Linked DNA regions of Macaca mulatta. The main gene of each other region encodes a partner of the protein of the gene in region 2 in a complex. Links are inferred from orthologs where the notes say so. Each region holds a gene or a part of one and is shown on either strand. Other genes may lie near its edges.

The links. Proteins that work in one complex are often made in the same cells at the same time.
Region 1: the proteins of KIFBP (region 2) and KIF15 are in contact, whole or in part, in a cryo-EM structure (PDB 6ZPH), measured with the Homo sapiens proteins. The link is inferred for Macaca mulatta from reciprocal best matches to the Homo sapiens genes KIFBP and KIF15. Residues at the interface, in NP_056449.1 of Homo sapiens: Lys26, Tyr33, Lys36, Ile106, Glu109, Ile147, Ser150, Glu151, Glu153, Thr208, His209, Tyr212, Tyr213, Gln216, Gln219, His220, Phe224, Gln238, Glu248, Trp249, Ile251, Asn252, Thr255, Gln258, Phe259, Asn262, Tyr415, Val416, Thr417, Glu421; in NP_064627.1 of Homo sapiens: Leu187, Glu189, Ile191, Lys192, Lys193, Arg231, Glu232, Arg235, Arg271, Met280, Arg281, Leu282, Lys283, Glu284, Ala285, Gly286, Asn287, Asn289, Arg290, Leu292, Ser293, Gly296, Gln297, Ile299, Ala301, Val303, Asp304, Val305, Gly306, His312.

What each region holds. Positions count from the first base shown.
Region 1 is NC_133407.1:108,088,630-108,098,943, reverse strand, and holds the start of KIF15 (kinesin-like protein KIF15), read right to left. Parts: upstream 6,121-10,314; 5' UTR 5,921-6,120; coding exon 5,902-5,920; intron 1-5,901. Other genes in the region: uncharacterized protein KIAA1143 homolog, read left to right, coding at 6,178-6,285. UniProt on the Homo sapiens protein: Plus-end directed kinesin-like motor enzyme involved in mitotic spindle assembly.
Region 2 is NC_133414.1:80,620,310-80,630,523, forward strand, and holds part of KIFBP (KIF-binding protein), read right to left. Parts: intron 8,076-10,214; coding exon 7,991-8,075; intron 5,400-7,990; coding exon 5,284-5,399; intron 4,573-5,283; coding exon 4,471-4,572; intron 92-4,470; coding exon 1-91. UniProt on the Homo sapiens protein: Activator of KIF1B plus-end-directed microtubule motor activity. Required for organization of axonal microtubules, and axonal outgrowth and maintenance during peripheral and central nervous system development.

The DNA of each region.
Region 1 (10,314 bases), on a different chromosome or scaffold from region 2:
CCCAAACCTTAAACTTGAGATTGGTTTAGGATTGGGCTTGGGGGAAGGGAACCCAGAAGACTGACATGCCGGCAAAAGGGTAAAAGTTTTTTTTAACCAGTCGGGCTTTTGGCCTCCCTCACCCTGTGCAAACCAGTAAAAGGCCTCAGGATTTTCAAGCTGTTCTTCCCCCGTCCTTGTTTTGTTTTGATACATGTTTTCTAATAACCCAGCTTGTCTCTTCTTGCCTTCAGGCTATCAAACTCCAGTCACGCAACTGGAGCCTCAGATAATGGTCCCTTTTGCCAGGAACCCTTAGACCAGCTTCTTAGGGAGATCTGACTGCCATTTTCCCAACACAGCATCCCCTGTCAGCAGGAAACAGTTAAGATTGGTCTTTGTTCTTATCTTTATTCTAAGGGCAGTTAGATGTACTCTTTAGAAGGGGGAATGATAAGAGACAGGAGACAGCCAAACGCTTCCCAGGTCATTGAAAAATTCTGTCCCAAAACTAGCCGGGCGAGGTGGCAGGCGCCTGTAGTCCCAGCTACTCAGGAGGCTGAGACAGGAGAATGGCCCGAACCCGGGAGGTGGAGCTTGCAGTGAGCTGAGATCCGGCCACTGCACTCCAGCCTGGGCGACAGAGCAAGACTCCGTCTCAAAAAAAAAAAAAAGAAAAGAAAAATTCTGTCCCTTAACACACACACAGTAAGGAAAATAAATCAATGTGGAGTGGCTCAGACTAAAGGCCCACATGCGCACTCAGAGAATGGGGTGGAGCCACTGGGAATTTGCACCTTATGCAGGGGGAGAAGCCTGGCCTCTTCAGCTGGTGTGTGGTGACCTGGTATTCAATCTGTGAGGTGGCAGCTTGTTGGCAGGACACACTTTTTTTCACTGAGAGCTTCCTTTTAATAAATTCCACTCTCCTTATCTTTCAATGTGTCCGCGTGCCTGATTTTTCCTGGGCATGCAACAAGAACCTGGATTTTAGCTGAGCTAAGGAGCAAAATATCCTGCATCAATGGTTCTTTTTTTTTTTTTTTTGAGCCAGAGTCTCGCTCTGTCACCAGAGTCACCATGCCTGGCCTGTTTTTAAATGCTAGGTATAAATTGATGATTCACAAATTTAAATCTTCTTCCTGGACTGCTCTCCTGAGCTCCACACTCTTACAACTTATTACCTATTTGATATCTCTAACTAGATATGCAGTGGGCAATGAATCAAATTTAATGTGTACAAAACTGAGCGCCTGAATACCCCACCTCTACCCCAAATGTGTTTCTATATCTCCGTAAACTCCATCTTTCCAGTTGCTTAGGCCAAAAACCATATAGTCATCCCTGACCCTGTTCTTCTCACTCTTCATATCCAATCTCAGCAAAGCTTTGGCTCTAATTTCAAAATATACCCACAGTCCAACAGCTTCTTGCCAAATCCACTGCCACAGTGTAGAACCAAGCCAGCAACATCTCTTTATTGTGTTATTACAACAGTCTCTCTGCTTCTCTTTCTCCCCCACTCCCATCTTTTCTCAACCTAGCAGGCAGAATAATTCTGTTAAAAAAGAAGTCAGAGATTGACTTCTGACTGACGTTATAAGGAACTCCACTGACCCACTCCCCAGTGAAACTTAAAAAAAAAAGAAATTTTAAAAAAGAATATTGGCGGGGCGCAGTGGCTCACACCTGTAATGCCAGCACTTTGGGAGGCTGAGGCGGGCGGATCACAAGGTCAGGAGATTGAGACCATCCTGGCTAACATGGTGAAATCCCATCTCTACTAAAAACACAAAAAATTAGCCAGGCATGGTGGTAGGCACCTGTAGTCCCAGCTACCCAGGAGACTGAGGCAGGAGAATGGCATGAACCCAGGAGGCAGAGCTTGCAGTGAGCCGAGATCACACCACTGCACTCCAGCCTGGGCGACCGAGTGAGACTCCATCTCAAAAAACAAAAAAAAGAAAAGAAAATTAAAGCCTCTGGAAATGTTCCCAAAGGCAAACAGCAAACAAAGAAACATCCGTTCAAGAACATTTATGAAAATTCATCAAGAAAGGTGGTCCTGTGTTATTTGAACCAAGATTGCTCTCTTCCTCCCATCTGAGCAAGGCAAACACTCCACTGTCGATTGCAGCAGCCAAGAACACAGGGATCCCCCTCCAGCTCCTAACTGCAAGGGTGTCTTCCACAGAGTAGCAGGATGTCAGTGTATCATTGTGTCTCCAGCTAGCTACCTGATGCTGAGGTAAAGTCCTAGACAAGTGTGGTTGAGAGGTGAGGGCTCTCCCTTCTCCCACCCAGCCCTCATCTTGCAACTGCATGCTGAGAACACTGGGGCCCTGATCACCCTTGTCCCAACTCATTAGGCAGTGGTTCCACACAAGGCTGCTGCACTCCCCACCCTCCCCACAAAATGCTCGGCAACTAGAAAGGGTATCACTCAGAGACAAGACTGCCATTATCCCTATCCCCAACTATAGTGCCCAGGCTCAGAGATTTTGCCTAGACGAAGAATCAGCCCATAAACAGATAACTCCTATTCTCTTCCCAAATGAGCTGAATTCATTTGCAACAGAGCATAGAGAAGTTCAAACCTGGCCCGGCGCGGTGGCTCAAGCCTGTAATCCCAGCACTTTGGGAGGCCCAGACGGGCGGATCACGAGTTCAGGAGATCGAGACCATCCTGGCTAACACAGTGAAACCCCGTCTCTACTAAAAAATACAAAAAAACTAGCCGGGCGAGGTGGCGGGCGCCTGTAGTCCCAGCTACTCGGGAGGCTGAGGCAGGAGAATGGCGTAAATCCGGGAGGCGGAGCTTGCAGTGAGCCGAGATCCGGCCACTGCACTCCAGCCTGGGCGACAGAGCGAGACTCTGTCTCAAAAAAAAAAAAAAAAAAAAAAAAAGAGAAGTTCAAACCTGGCTAGGTGTGGTAGCTCATGCCTGTAATCCCAGCACTTTGGGAGGCCCAGGCAGGCGGATCATTTGAGGTCAGGAGTTCGAGACCAGCCTGACCAACATAGCGAAACCCCATCTCTGTACTAAAAATACAAAACAAAAATTAGCTGGGCATGGTGGCACGTCTGTAATCTCAGCTACTTGGGAGGCTGAGGCAGGAGAATCGCTTGAATTCAGGAGGTGGAGGTTGCAGTGAGCCGAGACCACGCCACTGCCGTACAGCCTAGGTGACAGAGCAAGACTCGGTCTTGGGGTGGGGTGTGGGGGAAAGAAGTTCAAACCTAAGGGCACTCTCAGGAACAGTGTAGGTTTTAGTGAAAGTAATTAGGAAGACATTCAAGATACAAGCTAAATTGTAGGCCTGTTCGCTTGCCAGAAGACAATGGGGATATAAGATCAACTAGGAGTAGCTACAGTGGAGTCAGAAGAAATACGAAAGACAACCTCAGAAACTACTCCTTCAATGGAGCAAGAACTGAAGTAGTTTGTAAGACAATTTATGCCCCAGGACATTGTTAAAAAACAATAGAGCAATCAGCTAACAATTACTGGAGTTTCACAGCTGTGTGCAGTCATGGAAAGAAAGAGATCCCTACCAAAACCACTGTGATCCCAGGATACAGGTGGGCATATCCAAAGCTGTGCTTTCCTGAGGAGCAACATCAAAGGCTTAACAGTATAGGAGGGAAATAGACTTCACTAAATTGATCCAGCCAGTTGCTAAGCAAATACACAATCAAACAACAACAAGAAGCCCCAGAAGGTAGGCTGCCAGCTCTTCATCTCTGCAGAGATCTGTGTAACTGATCAGATGGAAACTAAATAGATGGATACTGATCTGCGCTTATGTGAAACTTCCTGGTAAATCTAAAAGGAACCCAAAGTAAAATGTTTACTTAATAAAAAAAGAAGCAAAGTTAATGAGCAAATAGCGAGATAAAGTGAAATTTAAAACTACACAAATGTAGATAGTTCTGGCATTATTTCTAATTGAGATCTAAGGAACCATCACTGAGAAGTGCTAGGATTTGAACAAAGGCATGCTAAATCCAGATCTCCTACTCTGAGGCTGAGGCACAAGCACTGCTTGAACCCAGGAGGCAGAGACTGCAGTGAGCCAAGATTGTGCCAGTGCACTCCAGCCTGGGTGACAGAGCAACACTGTCTTTAAAAAAAAAAAAAAAGAAAAAAAAAAGGGAATTGTATATTTCACTTTTTCATTTCTCTGATTTACAGTCAGCAACTCATGGTGTCAATGTCACTAGAGATAGCCTTCATGGGGCCGGGTATGGTGGCTCACACCTGTAATCCCAAAACTTTGGGAGGCCAAGGTGGGCAAATCATGAGGTCAGGAGATCAAGACCATCCTGGCCAACATGGTGAAACCCCAGCTCTACTAAAAATAAAAAAATTAGCTGGGCGTGGTGGCCCGTGCCTGTAATCCCAGCTACTCGGGAGGCTGAGGCAGGAGAATCTCTTGAACCCCGGAGGTGGAGGTTGCAGTGAGACGATATTGCACCACTGCACTCCAACCTGGTGACACAGCAAGACTCTGTCTCAAAAAAAAAAAGCCTTCAGGGCACAAAGTAAAAGTTGTAAAGACCACTGCATGGGCTCTCTTCTCCCATGTGTTCCCACTTCATGCTCCAGGTCTCTGGGCTGCTGGGAAAGCAAGAAGCACTTTACCTGGGAAGTCATCAACCTCAATTTTGCCAACAAACTTAAGGGAGTGGAAAAGTTCCCCATGGCATCACCACCATCATAAAGGGAAGTGCTCCCACCACTTTAAGAAAGGCTCTCAAATTTGGTTTTCTTCTGAGCCCTTAGTCACATACATATATCTCATTAAATAAGCAGATACTTTACTTATTTAACAGGCATCAATTTTTTTGGCTTGAGTCCAGATCCATAAGGTGGAAACAAAGAACAAACAGTATGATTGTTCAGAAAGCAGGATGAACATTTCTCTCCAATAAGGTACCATTTTGTGAGCTCATAGTCCTTGAATACTGAAAATGATGAAGGAAAAGGAATATTTTAGATGGAAAAAGGTAGCATAAAGAGGTGTTCCAATAAAAGTGCGATCGACCTAAAAGGTTACTGAAACAACAAACCCATCAAAAACAACTATAATTGACAGAAAGCTAGAAACATTAACGCTGTTGGAAAGCTCAAATGACAGAAGTTCACAAATTCTTAATCATCTGATCTAGGCCTCTCCTTATTACCATTCAGACCACTCACAAAGATCCCATTAAATCAGCTCATAATCAGGTTCACAAAAACAAGACTCCTTAAGAGATGTGGCAATGTAAGAAGTGGCGCACGTACACAGGCACAGCAAAAGACTACATTAGTGAAAACTGTAGGGTTTATCATAAGCAAAAATGACAGTGCTCTCCTCCGTGAAAAAGAGAAAGAAATCGGACGGGTCTCCTTTAAGTGAAAATAGAGACTGTGACAACACAGACATTGCTGACATCTGTGTTTTAACATTCCATTTACTTAAGGGAAAAAGAGAAAGAAGTGTTTGGAATATAAATAAACCCTTCCCTATAGGAAGGTCAGAAATGTGGAAATACGCAGACGCTGGTGGGAGCAAAAGCCGATCCTGAAACAAGGATATCTAGAGAGGTAGCCCTGGTCGGGATGTGGGAAGAGGCCTGCGAAGAAACAGCAGAACCGAGGGAAAGAAAGGGAAGAACGGCAGGTCCACTGCTCATCCCGAGCGCCTACAACTGCGCCAGACTCCTAGCATGCGCACAGGACACGGAAGGGATGACCTTTTCGGCTAGCGTATTGTCTTTGAGCGACAGAGAGGGATTCCCAAACGCCCCCGCCCGTCACTCAGCTCCTGCAGTTCATGCCCAGCAAGAACCTTGCCGGCGGTCCGAGGTTGCCATCCTTTCACAGCTGTATTTGGGGGCAAAGATAGGGTAACGAAGTCTGGGGTCCAGACTTACTTTTGCAGCCGGGTGCCATAGCGCCCTCACCCCTCGATCCCGGGAACAATGCAGCCGACGCCTCCACCTCCCGACTGCGCCGCGCGCGACTGAATTCCTCCCGCTCAAGATGGCCGCGAATTTGAATTTGGCGCTTGTATCCGACGTTGACGCCCGAATGGAGGCCGCCATGTTGCCCGGTCTACGCATCAGGGGCGTGGTCCAGTTGACGTCACAGCTAAGCGCCTCTGTATCGTCGCGAATCGGTCGCGGAACCTGTCTTTACCTAGAGCTACCATGAGCAAGCGGAACCAGGTATCGTACGTACGGCCAGCCGAGCCAGCGTTTCTGGCCCGCTTCAAGGAACGGGTCGGCTACAGGGAGGGACCCACCATAGAGACTAAGGTGAGCCCTCACCAGTCGTGTTACTTCGGAAGCGCGGCCAGCCTGCCACTTTCAACTTTTGCCTTTACTTGGAGGGTGGGTGCTGTCGGGTCCCTCTTTTCACCCGCGCTCGGCACCAATTCCGGTGGAACTCGGACCCCCAGCCTGGTTCTTTTCAAGCGACTACAGCCCCCTACGCCCAGAAAGCTCTGTAGGTTTCAGAGCGCTGCTGTTTTCCTAAAAATGACCTTACATGTAAACCGCCTGGTCCTTGGTAGATGGTAAAGAAAGATCACTTTCTTGTCTCTTCTTTCTCTCTTGTTTACCTCAAAAGCTGTGAGTTCGCAGGGTGAGTTAGAGTTACAGCGTCGTCCCATATTCCAGATAAGGACACAGGCCACTCGATCAAATGACCCCCGCCCGAACCGTGTCCTAGGACTCGAGTGTGGAACGTCTTCGGAGGAATGTCCTGAATCTGTTTCTATGCTTTGTTAAGTTAAAAAAAAAAAAATTAAAAAATATAGAGAGAAGGTCGGGCACAGTGGCTCACGCCTGTAATCCCAGCACTTTGGGGGGCCGAGGCAGTCGGATCGCGAGGTCAGGAGATCTAGACCATCCTAGCTAACACAGTGAAACCCCGTCTCTACCAAAAATATAAAAAATTACCTGGGCGTGGTGGCGGGCGCCTGTAGTCCCAGCTACTCAGGAGGCTGAGGCAGGAGAATGGTGTGAACGCGGGAGTCGGAGCTTGCAGTGAGCGGAGATCGCGCCACTGCACTCCAGCCCGGGCGACAGAGCAAGACTCCGTCTAAAAAAACAAACAAACAAAAAAAGTAGCCAAAAGCCCTAAATATCCTGGGTCTAAATAGAAGAAGAGGAGCTTCAGGAAAGAGCCACACCTGACTACTGTTGTTTAGGGCTGAAGGGATCAGTATTGAACACATGAATGACAAGAAAGCAAAACAGCTTAAGTTGCTGATACAGAGAAAGTTTTAGTGGTCTAGATAGAAGAGCAAACCAGCCACAACATTCCCTTTAACCAAAGTGTAATCTAGAGCAAGGTCCTAACTCTTTTCAATCCTATGAAGTCTGAGACATGTGAGAAAGCTGCAGAAGAAAAGAGTGAAGCTAACAGAGGTTGGTTCATGAGGTTTAAGAAAAGAAGCCATCTCCATAACATAAAAGTATGAGATGAAGAAGCAAATTATTCAGATCTAGCTAAGATAGTTGATGAAAATGGTTGCACTAAACAGGTTTTCAATGTAGATGAAACAGCCTTCTATTGGAAAAAGATGCCATCTAGGACTTTGTTTTTTTTGTTGGTGGTGGTTGTTTTTGAGACAGGGTCTCACTCTGTCACCCAGGCTAGAGTGCAGTGGTGCAATCACAGCTCACTGCAGCCTTGACCTCCTGGGCTCAAGTGATCCTCCTGCCTCAGTCTCCCAAGTAGCTGGGACTACAGGCACGCACCACCACTGGGTAATTTTTGTATTTTTTTATAGAGACAGGATCCCACTGTGTTGCCAAGGCTGGTCTCAAACTCCTGGACTCAAGCAATCCTCCCACTTTAGCCTCTCAAAGCCTCTCAAAAAACACTATGCCTGTCCCATTTAGGACTTTCATAGCTAGAGAGAAGTCAGTGACTGGCTTCAAATTTTCAAAGGACAGGTTAACACTCGTTAGGGGCTAATGCAGCTGGTGACTTTTAAGTTGAAGTTAATATTTACCATTCCAAAACTCCTAGGGTCCTTAAGAATTACACTAAATCTCATCTACCTGTGCTCTAGAAATGGAAAAACAAAACCTTGATGACAGCACATCTCTTTATAGTATGGTTTACTGAATTATTTTAAGCCCACTGTTGAGACCTACTGCTCAGAAAAAAAAGATTATTTCAATATATTACTGCTGATTGACAATACACCTGGTCACCCAAGAGCTCTGATGGAGATCTACAAGGAGATTAATGTGGTTTTCATGCTTGCTAACACAACATCCATTCTGCAGCCCATGGATCAAGGAGTAATTTCTATTTTCAGTCTTATTGTTTAAGAAATAACAGCCAGGCACAGTGGCTCACACTTGCAATCCCAGCACTTTGGGAAGTCAAGGCAGGTGGATTGCTTGAGCCCAGGAGTTCAAGACCAGCCTGGCCAACATGGTGAGACCCCATCTCTACAAAAAATACAAAATTTAGCCAAGTGTGGTGGCATGCACCTGTGGTCCCAGCTACTTGGGAGGCTGAGGTGGGAGGATCCCCTGACCCCAGGTAGGTTGAGGCTGCAGTCAGCCATGATCGCACCACTGCACTCCAGCCTGGGTAACCGAGCCAGACCCTGTCTCAAAACGAAACAAAACAAAACAAAAAGTCAAAACATTTGTAAGGCTACAGCTGCCATGGATAGTGATTCCTCTGATGCATCTGGATATTGTAAATTGAAAACTTTATGGAAAGGTTTCACCATTCTAGACACGTTAAGAACATCCATGATTCATGGGAAGAGGGCAAAATATCAGCATTAACAGGAATTTGGAAGAGGTTGATTCCAACCTTCATGGATGACTTTGAGAGGTTCAGGCCTTCAGTGGAGGAAGTAATTGCAGGTGTGGTAGAACAAGGAAAAGAACTAAAATTAGAAGTAGAGCCTGAAAATGTAATTAAGTTGTTGCAGTCTCATAAAAATTGAACACATGAGTTGCTTCTTATTGATGAGCAAAGAAAGTGGTTTATTGAAATGGAATCTACTTCTGGTGAAGATGCTGTGAACATTGTTGAAATGTCAACAAAGGATTTAGAGTAAACTTACTTGGTAAAGCAGCAGCAGGTTTAAGAGGACTGATTCCAATTTTGAAAGGAGTTCAGCTGTGGGTAAAATGCTATGAAACAGCATTGCAGCATCACAAAAGAGAAATCTTTTGTGAAAGGAAGACTCAATTAATGCAGCAAACTTCATCATTGTCTCATTTTAAAAAATTGCCACAGCCACCCCGCCTTTCAGCACCCACCACCCTCATCAGTCAACATCCATCAGCATCAAGGGCAGACCCTTCACTGGCAAAAAGATGAGGACTCACTGAAGGCTCAGATGAGCTTTAACGTTGTTAGCAATAAAGTATTTTTAAATTAAGGTGGGTACATCTTCCAAACTCCTGTTAATGTTAATATTTTGCCTTCTCCCATGAATCGTGGATGTTCTTAATGGGATCTAGATTTTTTTTAGACATAATGATACTGCATACTTAATACTAACTGTAGTTAGTGTATAGTGTAAACATAACTTTTATGTAAACTGGGAAACCAGAAAATTTGTGTGACAGTTTATTTTGATGCTTGCTTTGTTGTGGTGATCTGGAACCAAATCTGTGGTATCTTCAAGGTATGCCAGTAGGATGAGTATGTGCTAACCCCATGCACTGTGCCAGGCTCTGAAAGGATGAAGAGATGGATCTCCAAAATGCCATGTTCTTTAACACTTCCTGCCCTATTTTCACAGGTCACCATCTCTCCGAAACCCTTCAAAGCTCTCCAAACAGTTACTCTTTCTCTGTTTTTCTCTTTACCTTATCCATATCTTACCTATAACACTCATTTTATATTGCAACTACTTGCTTTCCTGTTTATCTTCACCACTAGATTGAACTCTTTAAGTTAGTATCTTAATCCTTCCATATTTTCCCAGCACCTAGCACAGTGCCTGGCACTAAGTAGTGGTCTTGTATTTGTTAATGACTCTGCTTGTTATCAGGTTAGACTTCGTGGAGGAGGGATATTTAGGTAGACTCTTGAGCATGGTTAGGTCAGTAGGTAGAGATGAAGAGAATAGCATGGGTAAAGGTGTAGAGATTTGAGAGTCATGGACTATATATAGCAGTATTAGAGGGACTAGTGGAGGTGAGGTCATGTGGACTATTTAGTAAGCAACAGGGAGCCATTTTTTTCTTAGAGGTAACACAGGGAATGACTGATCCCCATGACTAAAAATAGGGATGATGACAAAGAGGATAAGGTTTGAGAAAAGGGACATAGATTCAGCAATGAGAAGACGAGAC
Region 2 (10,214 bases):
TTTTCCGAATGCTTTCCTCCTCATCTAGTTCTTTTTTCCTTAAAGCTCTAAGTTCAGACTGTTTATCAAGATCAAGCTCTCCTATGTTGTCCTGAAGAAAAATAAATAAATTATGGTTAAGTAGGACACTCACCTCCTGCTGTTAAATAACATTAAAGCAAACTTCAGAGTTTTTTTAGAAAAGTCTCTTACTTTCCAGCCTGGTTTAGAAGGGTATCATAGTCTTAAACACCTTTGAGAACTTCTTTCTTTCTTCCAATTATATTAAAAACTCAAGAAATGTGAAAAAAAAAAAAAGTATTTAAATAGACAAGCTGCTTACATATCATTTATTCTGAGGAACTGAAATTCATTTACAGTTACTCCTTCCAATAAGATAAATGCTACCTGTAGAAGTACTTTGAGAATTGTGAAACATTATATACATGTGATACATTACTCCCAGCACTTTGGAAGGCCAAGGCGGGCGGATCACAAGGTCAGGAGTTCAAGACCAGCCTGGCCAACACAGTGAAACCCTGTCTCTACTAAAAATACAAAAATTAACTAGGCATGGTGGCAGGGGCCTGTAATCCCAGTCACTTGGGAGACTGAGGCAGGAGAATCGCTTGAACCCAGGAGGCGGAGGTTGCAGTGAGTGGAGATCGTGCCACTGCACTCCAGCCTGGGTGACAGTGCAAGACTCCATCTCAAGAAACAAACAAACAAACAAACAGACTGTAATCTACATCACAAAAATACTTCACAAGGATGCCATTAAAATTAATGCTACCATGTTTATGCTATTAGTTATTTAGTGAAATATATCAAAGAGAAATGCTCTAGGTCTCTTAAAGACATCAAAATGAACAAAGTTAAATCTACCTTCCTAGTTAAAGTTTTCTCCTCTACCTCTTGGGGGTGGGGAATAACTAAGAATAACTAAGGTAGTTAAGAAATAAGAGTAAGCTCTTCTTGGCCAATAAAATTAAATAACAGATCCCAAGTCCTTTTCTTCTTTTCTTTTCTTTCTTTTTTTTTTTTTTTGAGACGTAGTCTCGCTCTGTCGCCCAGGCTGGAGTGCAGTGGCCGGATCTCAGCTCACTGCAAGCTCCGCCTCCCGGGTTTATGCCATTCTCCTGCCTCAGCCTCCCGAGTAGCTGGGACTACAGGCGCCCGCCACCTCGCCCGGCTAGTTTTTTGTACTTTTTAGTAGAGACGGGGTTTCACCGTGTTAGCCAGGATGGTCTTGATCTCCTGACCTAGTGATCCGCCCGTCTCGGCCTCCCAAAGTGCTGGGATTACAGGCTTGAGCCACCGCGCCTGGCCCCTTTTCTTCTTTTCACTTGACACTGTCTCACTAGTGATCTCTCCACAAACCCTTCAAGGTTTCCAAATGCTCAGAAGATGAAGACAACAATGCTTCAAAGCCTTGATTGCTCCAGCCCCTTTCTAACTCTAACTTTACCTTATATCACACTCCCTCTCCCTCAGCTCCAACCTCACAGCCTTTGCTCCATCCCTTCTGATATCATCCTCCCTTACGCCACAGAACTTCTAAACATGCTGCTTCAGCTCCTTGGCATGGTGTGCCTTCTTTTCTTCAGGCTAGGTAACTCCTACTTACTCATCCCCAGAGCTTGCTTGTTATTTCCTCCTATTGTGCCTTCTCATATCATGTGTCTCTCCTTTGTGGAACTTAGCAAAATTGTACTTTTACATGAAGTCAAAGGCTAGGTTCATTTTTGTCCATCATAGTATCCTTGGCCAATGACTAGCACAGGTTTGGCATAAATACTTAATTGAATAAATATGTGTATGTCTTAAAGCTTGAGCTGGGCTGGGCGCGGTGGGTCACGCCTGTAATCCCAGCACTTTGAGAGGCCGAGGTGGGCGGATCAAAAGGTCAGGAGATCGAGACCATCCTGGCTAACACGGTGAAACCCCATCTCTACTAAAAATACAAAAAAGATTAGCCGGGTGTGGTGGCGGGAGCCTGTAGTCCCAGCTAATCGGGAGGTTGAGGCAGAAGAATGGTGTGAACCTGGGAGGCGGAGTTTGCAGTGAGCCGAGATCGCGCCACTGCGCATCGCGCCACTGCGCTGCACTCCAGCCTGGGTGACAGAGCGAGACTCCGTCTTAAAAAAAAAAAAAAGCTTGAACTGAAGAAGGTCTTTCAGATAAATACACAGATGATACAGGATGAAGTTACGGTTAAAAAAGAAAGTCAGGGCCGAGCGCAGTGGCTCACACCTGTAATCCTAGCACTTTGGGAGGCTGACATGGGTGGATTGCTTGAGCTCAAGAGTTCAAGACCAGCCTGGGCAACATGGTAAAACATCGTCCTAACAAAAATGCAAAGAATTAGCCGGGCACAGTGGCACACACCTGTGGTCCCAGTTACGTGGCAGGCTGATGTGGGAGGACCGCTTGAGCTGGGGAGGTGGAGGATGTAGTGAGTGGAGATCATGCCACTGCACACCAGCCTGGGTGACAGAAACCCCATCTCAAAAAACAAAATTGGGTTTAAGGAAAATCTGAGTAATTTAGTAGCATGGCAAATATGTGAGTTTAAACTAACCAAGTGATGAAGTTCTAAGTTCCCAGACTAGAAACATCAACTGAATGAAAGGTAAGGGTCAAATCATAGTGCATTATGCTTGACACAATTACTTCAAACATAGATCATAAGTCTCTAAATCTTGTATACTTCCTTCCTTCCTGGGCTGCTTGTTTATCTACATGTTCTCTCTAGGATGCTTTCTTAAATTAGCCTACTGTTTTGCTCCAATAGCCCCTGCAACCCTCCTTTTCCAGCTTTCCTTACCTGACCAGAAGAAACTTGACAGCTCTTCCTGGCTCCAAATTCTCTAGACATAAAGCCCATAGTTCTTCTCCCTACTTCCTGTCTTTCCTTAATATGCCTCCTCTTTACCCTCTAACCTCTAAAATGATCTTTATCTCTTCAAGATCTATGCTTCTGATGTGTTGAGGTTTGTTTAGTTTTCTTTCGTTTAGTAGTTTCACAAGGTTCTACATTATTTACCACTGATACAGTATGGATTTGTGTCCCCGGCCAAATCTCACGTCAGACTGGAGGAGGGACCTGGTGGGAAGTGACTGGATCATTGGGGGCAGATTTCCTGCTTGCTGTTCTTGTGGTAGTGAGTGAGCTCTCTCACGAGATCTGATGGTTTTGAAGTGTGTAGCATATCCCCCTTTGCTCTCTCTCTCTCCTGCTCTGCCACAGTAAGACACGCTTGCTTCCCTTTCACCTTCTGCCATGACTCTAAGTTTCCTGAGGCCTCCCAGTCATGCTTCCTGTTAAGCCTGAGGAACTGTAAGTCAATTAACCTCTTTTCTTCATAAATTACCCAGTCTCAGGTGGTTCTTTTTCTGTTTTTTTTTTTTTGAGACAGGGTCTCACTCTGTTACCCAGGCTGGAGCACAGTGGTGCAATGTTGGCTCACTGCAACCTCTGCCTCCTGCGCTCAAGTGATTCTCCTGCCTCAGCCTCCCCAGTAGCTGGGACTACAGGTGCACACCACCATGCTTGGCTAATTTTTTGTATTTTTGGTAGAGACAGGGTTTCAACATGTTGTCCAGGCTGGTCTCAAACTCATGAGCTCAAGTGATCCACCCACCTTGGCCTCCCAAAGTGCTGGGATTATAGGCATGAGGCGCTGCACCTAGCCTCAAGTAATTCTTTATAGCAGTGTGAGAATGGACTAATACAACCACTAAAGATTATTATACTTTCATCAAGCAGAGTCCCATGTAAAAAAAAAAAAAATTAGCATACTTTAATACACACATATAAAAAAACAAAAGCACAATGACTCCCCCAGGAAAGCTTCTATGTATCTACAATTAGTATATTGCATCTAAATGATTAATTTTATTATCCTCCCTAGTGGTTAGAAACTAGGATTGGGTATAAATTAATAATGATGATGGTAGTTAACATTTATTAAGGACTTAGTATGTCTCAGGCACTTTTCTGAGGCCTTAATATATACTGATTTAACTCTAATAACAACAGTATTAAGTACTATTATCTCCAACTTATTTGTGAGGAAATACAGGCAAAAATATATTAAGTAAATTGCCACAAAGACATAGCTACGAAGCAGCAGAGCTGGAGTTCATACCTACCTAGTGTGTTTCCAGAGCCCATGCTCTTCACTGCCATCACTTCTGCTTCTATTTTTGAACTATTACATGAGCTATTTCTTAAAAGTCTACCCTTTTAGATTTTATCAAGTCCATGCTGTGTGTAAGATAACACTGAGAAGTATATAAAGATTAGTAAGGCCTTGGCCAGGTGTGGTGGCTCACACCTGTAATCCCAGCACTCTGGGAGGCCGAGATGGGTGGATCACTTGAGATCAGGAGTTCGAGACCAGCTTGGCCAACATGGTGAGACTCCGTCTCTACTAAAAAGTCAAAAATTAGCCAGGCATGGTGGCAGGCACCTGTAATCCCAGCTACCTGGGAGGCTGAGGCAGGAGAATCCTTTGAACCTGGGATGCAGAGGTTGCAGCTGCGATCACACCACTGTACTCCAGCACTCCAGCCTGGGCAAAACTCCGTCTCAAAAAAAAAAAAAGATTAGTTAGGCCAGGCACAGTGGCTCACACCTGTAATCCCAGCACTTTGGGAGGCAAAGGCGGGAGGATCACTTGAACCCAAGAGTTCAAGACCAGCCTTGGCAACATAATGAGAGCCAGTATCTACAAAATAACTTAAAAATTAACTGGACATGGTGGCACATGCCTGTACTCCCAGGATGAGGTGGGATGATTGTGTGAGCTGGGGAGATCAAGGTTGCAGTGACCCATGACCATATCACCACACGCCAGCCTGGGCAACACAGCGAGAGCCTGTCTTTAAAAAAAAAAAAAAAAAAAAAGAATATGACATAGTTCCCAGCTCTCAAGAAGCTTATAGTCTAACCAAAGAGAAGTCTTCAAGGAAGATGTAGTATTTAAGATAGGCCTTGAATGATAAGTAAGATTTTATTTATTTATTTATTTATTTATTTATTTATTTGAGATGGAGTCTTGCTCTGTTGCCCAGGCTGGAATGCAGTGGTCCACTCTTGGCTCACTGCAGCCTCTGCCTCCTGGATTCAATCAATTTGATGAGTACGATTTAAAACCAAGAAAGAAATATTTATGAAAACATTCTACACGCCTTTCATATTAAACACAATGTGACCCCAATGAGCACAGTCCCCACTATGAGTTTTTACTTACAATGTCCTCATTTAAGAAACAAAAAGGCAACTTCCGACTGCATTACCTGCATGGAGAGTTGGGCATTCTGCATGAGAGTCAAACAGTATTTGATCCAGCACCTTGCTATTTCCCCCTTTCTTTGATGATAAAGCTCTGGCACCTCTCCTTCAGCTTCAGGAGCTAAAATATACATGTGATTTGTTTAAATTAATGGTCACAACTGTAATTTTCACTGGGTACTGTAATTTTTTTATATCACTTTTTCCTGACTACAAAAGTAACAGATCTTTACTGAAGCAGGGGGCTCGGGGAAAAGGGAAGAAAGATCCACTCCAAATCCTACTATCCAGAAGCACTCACTATTATTTTTGCATATTTCTTTCTCATACCACAAACACTTTACTCATATCATTATCAACTCTTAGCTTCATTTTTAAGTACACCATTATATACAATTAAATAGATATTCCATTATTTAGCCATTCTTCCAATTCGAACCTGGAATTTGTTGTTTCCATTTCTGTACTATCACAAAAACCTCTATGTCACACAACACATGGTTGTGGAGAACCTGGTGCTAAACTATTCAGATGACCTGCTTCTGGGTCAGAGTGTCATACACAGCAGGGCAGCTTTCTTGCTGCAATCTACTGAAAGTCAGCCCTCAACACAAAGGTTTAGAAAGTTTATACACACACACACATATTTTTACACTCGAAACATGAATATATTTGTGCAAAAATCTGCCTGGATTTTGGATTACTTCCTTAGGGCAGGTTCCTAGAAGTGGAATTTACTGAGTAGAAGAGTTTACACAATTTTAAGTAATTCACAACATATAGCCAAATTATTTTCAACAAATACGCCAACCAACAATATACGAGAATGCTCAATAAGAACATTTTGAAAACACTGGACACTGTCATTTTTTCAGCTATTTTGAAGAGTAAAAAAATAATATCTCACGGTATTATTTTAAATAAAGTATAGTATTAAATAATATCTCGGCAATTTAGTTTTTGTTCATTTTTTAAGACAAGTGCCTCTTAGACTTCAACTAATCTATAATTAATTCAATGTAGCTAATATATATTAGGGGAGAAAGCAACTATTTACTTTGATAATGTGCATTCCTTTAACTCTTAAGAGTCTCTGCACTTTTCAGATCCACAATTAGAATGTCCATTTGTAAGGAAGACATGATGTTTCAAAATCTAAAACATCGTAAGAAGGTTGGAAACTGTTCAACTGTGAGTTATAGAATCAAACTATTTTTCAAAATAAACTATTTTTAAAGAAAATGAGGCCGGGCGCAGTGGCTCAAGCCTGTAATCCCAGCACTTTGGGAGGCCGAGACGGGCGGATCACGAGGTCAGGAGATCGAGACCATCCTGGCTAATACGGTGAAACCCCGTCTCTACTAAAAATACAAAAAACTAGCCGGGCGAGGTGGCGGGCGCCTGTGGTCCCAGCTACTAGGGAAGCTGAGGCAGGAGAATGGCGGGAACCCGGGAGGCGGAGCTTGCAGTGAGCTGAGGTCCGGCCACTGAACTCCAGCCCGGCGACAGAGCGAGACTCCGTCTCAAAAAAAAAAAAAAAAAAAAAAAAAAGATGAACTTACTACAAAACCTGTTAAATGGCTCAAAGATACACGTTAACTATGATTTTCTAAGACAAAATGAAACATTATACTTAAAAAGATGGATATTTGGCTACATCGTTTATGCATGTAGTATTCCAACCAAAAATATATCATGTGAATGGTGGCGTAAGGAAACATCACACAAACCCCAGTTGGCAGTAATTCTCTGAAATAACTGGCCTATATTCTTCAAAAATGTTAAGTGATGAAAGGGAAAGAAAGGCTGAGGAACAATTCTGGATGAAAAATGCCTAGAGATGTGACAACTGAATGCAATATGCAATCTTGAACTGTATAATCCAGTACTGGCAAACAAATGCTAGAAGGAATATTATGGCAACAACTGATGAAACAGAAATATGCAGTGTAGACAAAAGAATTGTATCAATGTTACTTTTGTTTTTTTTTTTTTTTTTTTGAGAGGGAGTCTGGCTCTGTTGCCCAGGCTGGAGTGCAGTGGCTGGATCTCAGCTCACTGCAAGCCCCGCCTCCCGGGTTCACGCCATTCTCCTGCCTCAGCCTCCCGAGTAGCTGGGACTACAGGCGCCCGCCACCTCGCCCGGCTAATTTTTTTTGTATTTTAGTAGAGACGGGGTTTCACCGTGTTAGCCAGGATGGTCTCGATCTCCTGACCTCGTGATCCGCCCGTCTCGGCCTCCCAAAGTGCTGGGATTACAGGCTTGAGCCACCGCGCCCGGCCTGTTTTTTTAATTTCTTTAAAAACATAGAGGTAGGGTCTCACTATGTTGATCAGGCTGGTCTTGAACTCCTGGCCCCTCCCATCTTGGCCTCCCAAAATCTAGCATTACAGGCGTGGGCCATCATGCCTAGCCAATGTTACATTTCTTGAATTTGATAAATGATCTATGATTATGTAAGAAGATATTCTTCTTAGGAAATATATATTGAAGTATGAAAGGGTAAAGGAGCCTAATGTATGTAACCTCTCTAGTGGTTCAGAGAGAAAAATAAAATTTGATTCCAAGCGAAGAAAATACTAAAAATTGGTGCATTTAGGAGAAGGGCATATGATAGCTCTTCTGATCTTGCAACTTTTCAAAAGTTTAAAATAATTTCAAAATAAAATACTTTTTTAAAAGCTATGTAAAACATGCAAAGGTAAACTTACTGTCTTCTGTGGCTGAGATCTTTCCAGTTTGACCAAAAATGACATTAGCAGCTGATAAACAGTGCCTGGCCTCCATAAAGCATAGCTATTGGGGAAATAAACAACAGTGAATGTGACTATCATACAGCTTTATTTGCAACTGATACTTGCATAATTTCTTTTAATATGGGAAAAGGTATAAAATCAGATAAAAATACTACAAAGGAGGCCCTATAGAGTTGCAGATCGTTCAGAAGGTATAAAAGATATATTATCATATTATCTGGTTAAAATGTAACCTCAATGGTTAAAATATTAATGCCCCCAAACTCTTAATAATAATCCACTTGGGTTGAAAGACAACTGCCAATTGAAAGTTAGCTCTCCTTATTTAATCAATAGATATACAGGAATGGCTGTCATCCTAGACTTAAACTGTCTCAAAAAGCCCTTTAGGTTCAGTCTAAATAGCCAAACTCCCACGCACAATAAATTCTTAGACTATTTACATTGTGTCAGGACTGAATTTTTTTTTTCCTTACGAGATAGGGGTCTCACTCTAGCCCAAGGCTGGAGTGCAGTGGCACAATCATAGTTCGCTGCAGCCTCAACCTCCTGGGCGTAAGGGATCCTCCCACCTTTAGCTTCCTGAGTAGCTGGACTATAGGCACATGCCACCAAGCCTAATTCTGGGGTTCCTCTATGTTGCCTAGACAAGTCTCCAACTCCTGGCCTCAAGCAATGCTCCCACCTTGGCCTCCCAGAGTGCTGGGGTTATAAATGTAAGCCACCTTGCCCAGTCTGAAGATTTAATTTTTATTAGGTTTATAGAGCCCTTTTACATCCTACTATACACAGGCAATTAGGATAAATTTGGATAAGGAGAGACTTCTGTGTTCTAAAATCTTTGAAATTTACATACAATAAGGCTTCCCACCAAATTTTGAAGTCAACAGATTTCTACAGATGAACTTTATGGAACTGCTTTACCAACACTCTTAAAGACTTCATAATTCAATTCTGGGCATGGCAAACTTCTCAAACAATTAGAGAAGATCTCCTTATTAATAGAAACATTTTGTATTTGTCATGTAAGTCAAAGGACCACCCAGCAGAAGTTCAAAGTTAAAGTCCAACTTTTAGTTGGAAGCCACCCTCATTAAATAGAATGTCTACTTAATTATAGTAATACCTGAAAGGCTTTAAATGGTTGGCTATAACTTTAAAATCGCAGCATTACATGTATCTTTCCATTATGGCAAATTCAGAAGCCATCTTGAGAATAGCTGGGCATGTCAAGTATTGGCCCAGCAACATCTATAGATAAAAATGTGTTAAATCTTAAAAGCCAAAAGAAAGTCAGAGTTTATATAATGAAACTTTAATTATCTCTCTATAATCCAATCCCTTAACCATTATCATCATTTCAGCTTTGTCCAGATTGGCTCCCTGTGAGCAATCGCTGCTAGAACAGTGAGTATCTTATGCCCTCTAGGTGGCTGGTAAATGTGGGACTTTAGCAGCTGCCAGGTAGGGATTCACCACGTAGCAAAACCTCATCATTGGAATCAGATGAAGATGACAATGATATAAATGACAATTGCATTTTTTAAAACATGGTTCAAATCCCTCTTTTTGCAATACGACTTAGTTGGTTTTAACAAAAACTTAAAAAAGATTTTGGCAAAAAATAAAAGTGCAGGGTGTGGGAAGTCTCATGAAAATTACTGCATGCTCCACATAAGTAATGCTTAACAACTTTAAATTTTAAATCACACTTTAATATCTAGATATCTTAGTACTGCCAATATCCATGGAGTTTTAAGTATTAATTAAAGTCATAGTGAATACATAATTTTAAAGTTGCTAAACAGAATGAACAAGGGGCCTCCAACAGCTGTAAAAAAGATGTCACAAGCAGAGGCACTGGATAACACTTTGGATGAGGACAATGAAATGGATTCATGAGAATTAGTTAACTGAATGCTCTGATATATGCAGTAGCGTTACTTACACACTTGATCTTAGACCAAAGTCCTAGAAGCGATGCTGCAGTCACCACAGCCCTTTCTCTCCTGCTAATAGCTTTTCTGAATGAAATTCTGTGGGACAATACTTTAATCATAGGGCGCATTTACAGAATCAACGCTAACGAAATGCTCAAAAAGGATAAAGGCCCAAGAATAAGGCAGCAGGTTACCAGAGAGATGAAAGAAGGAACTCTGATAAGCAGAGAATTACCAAA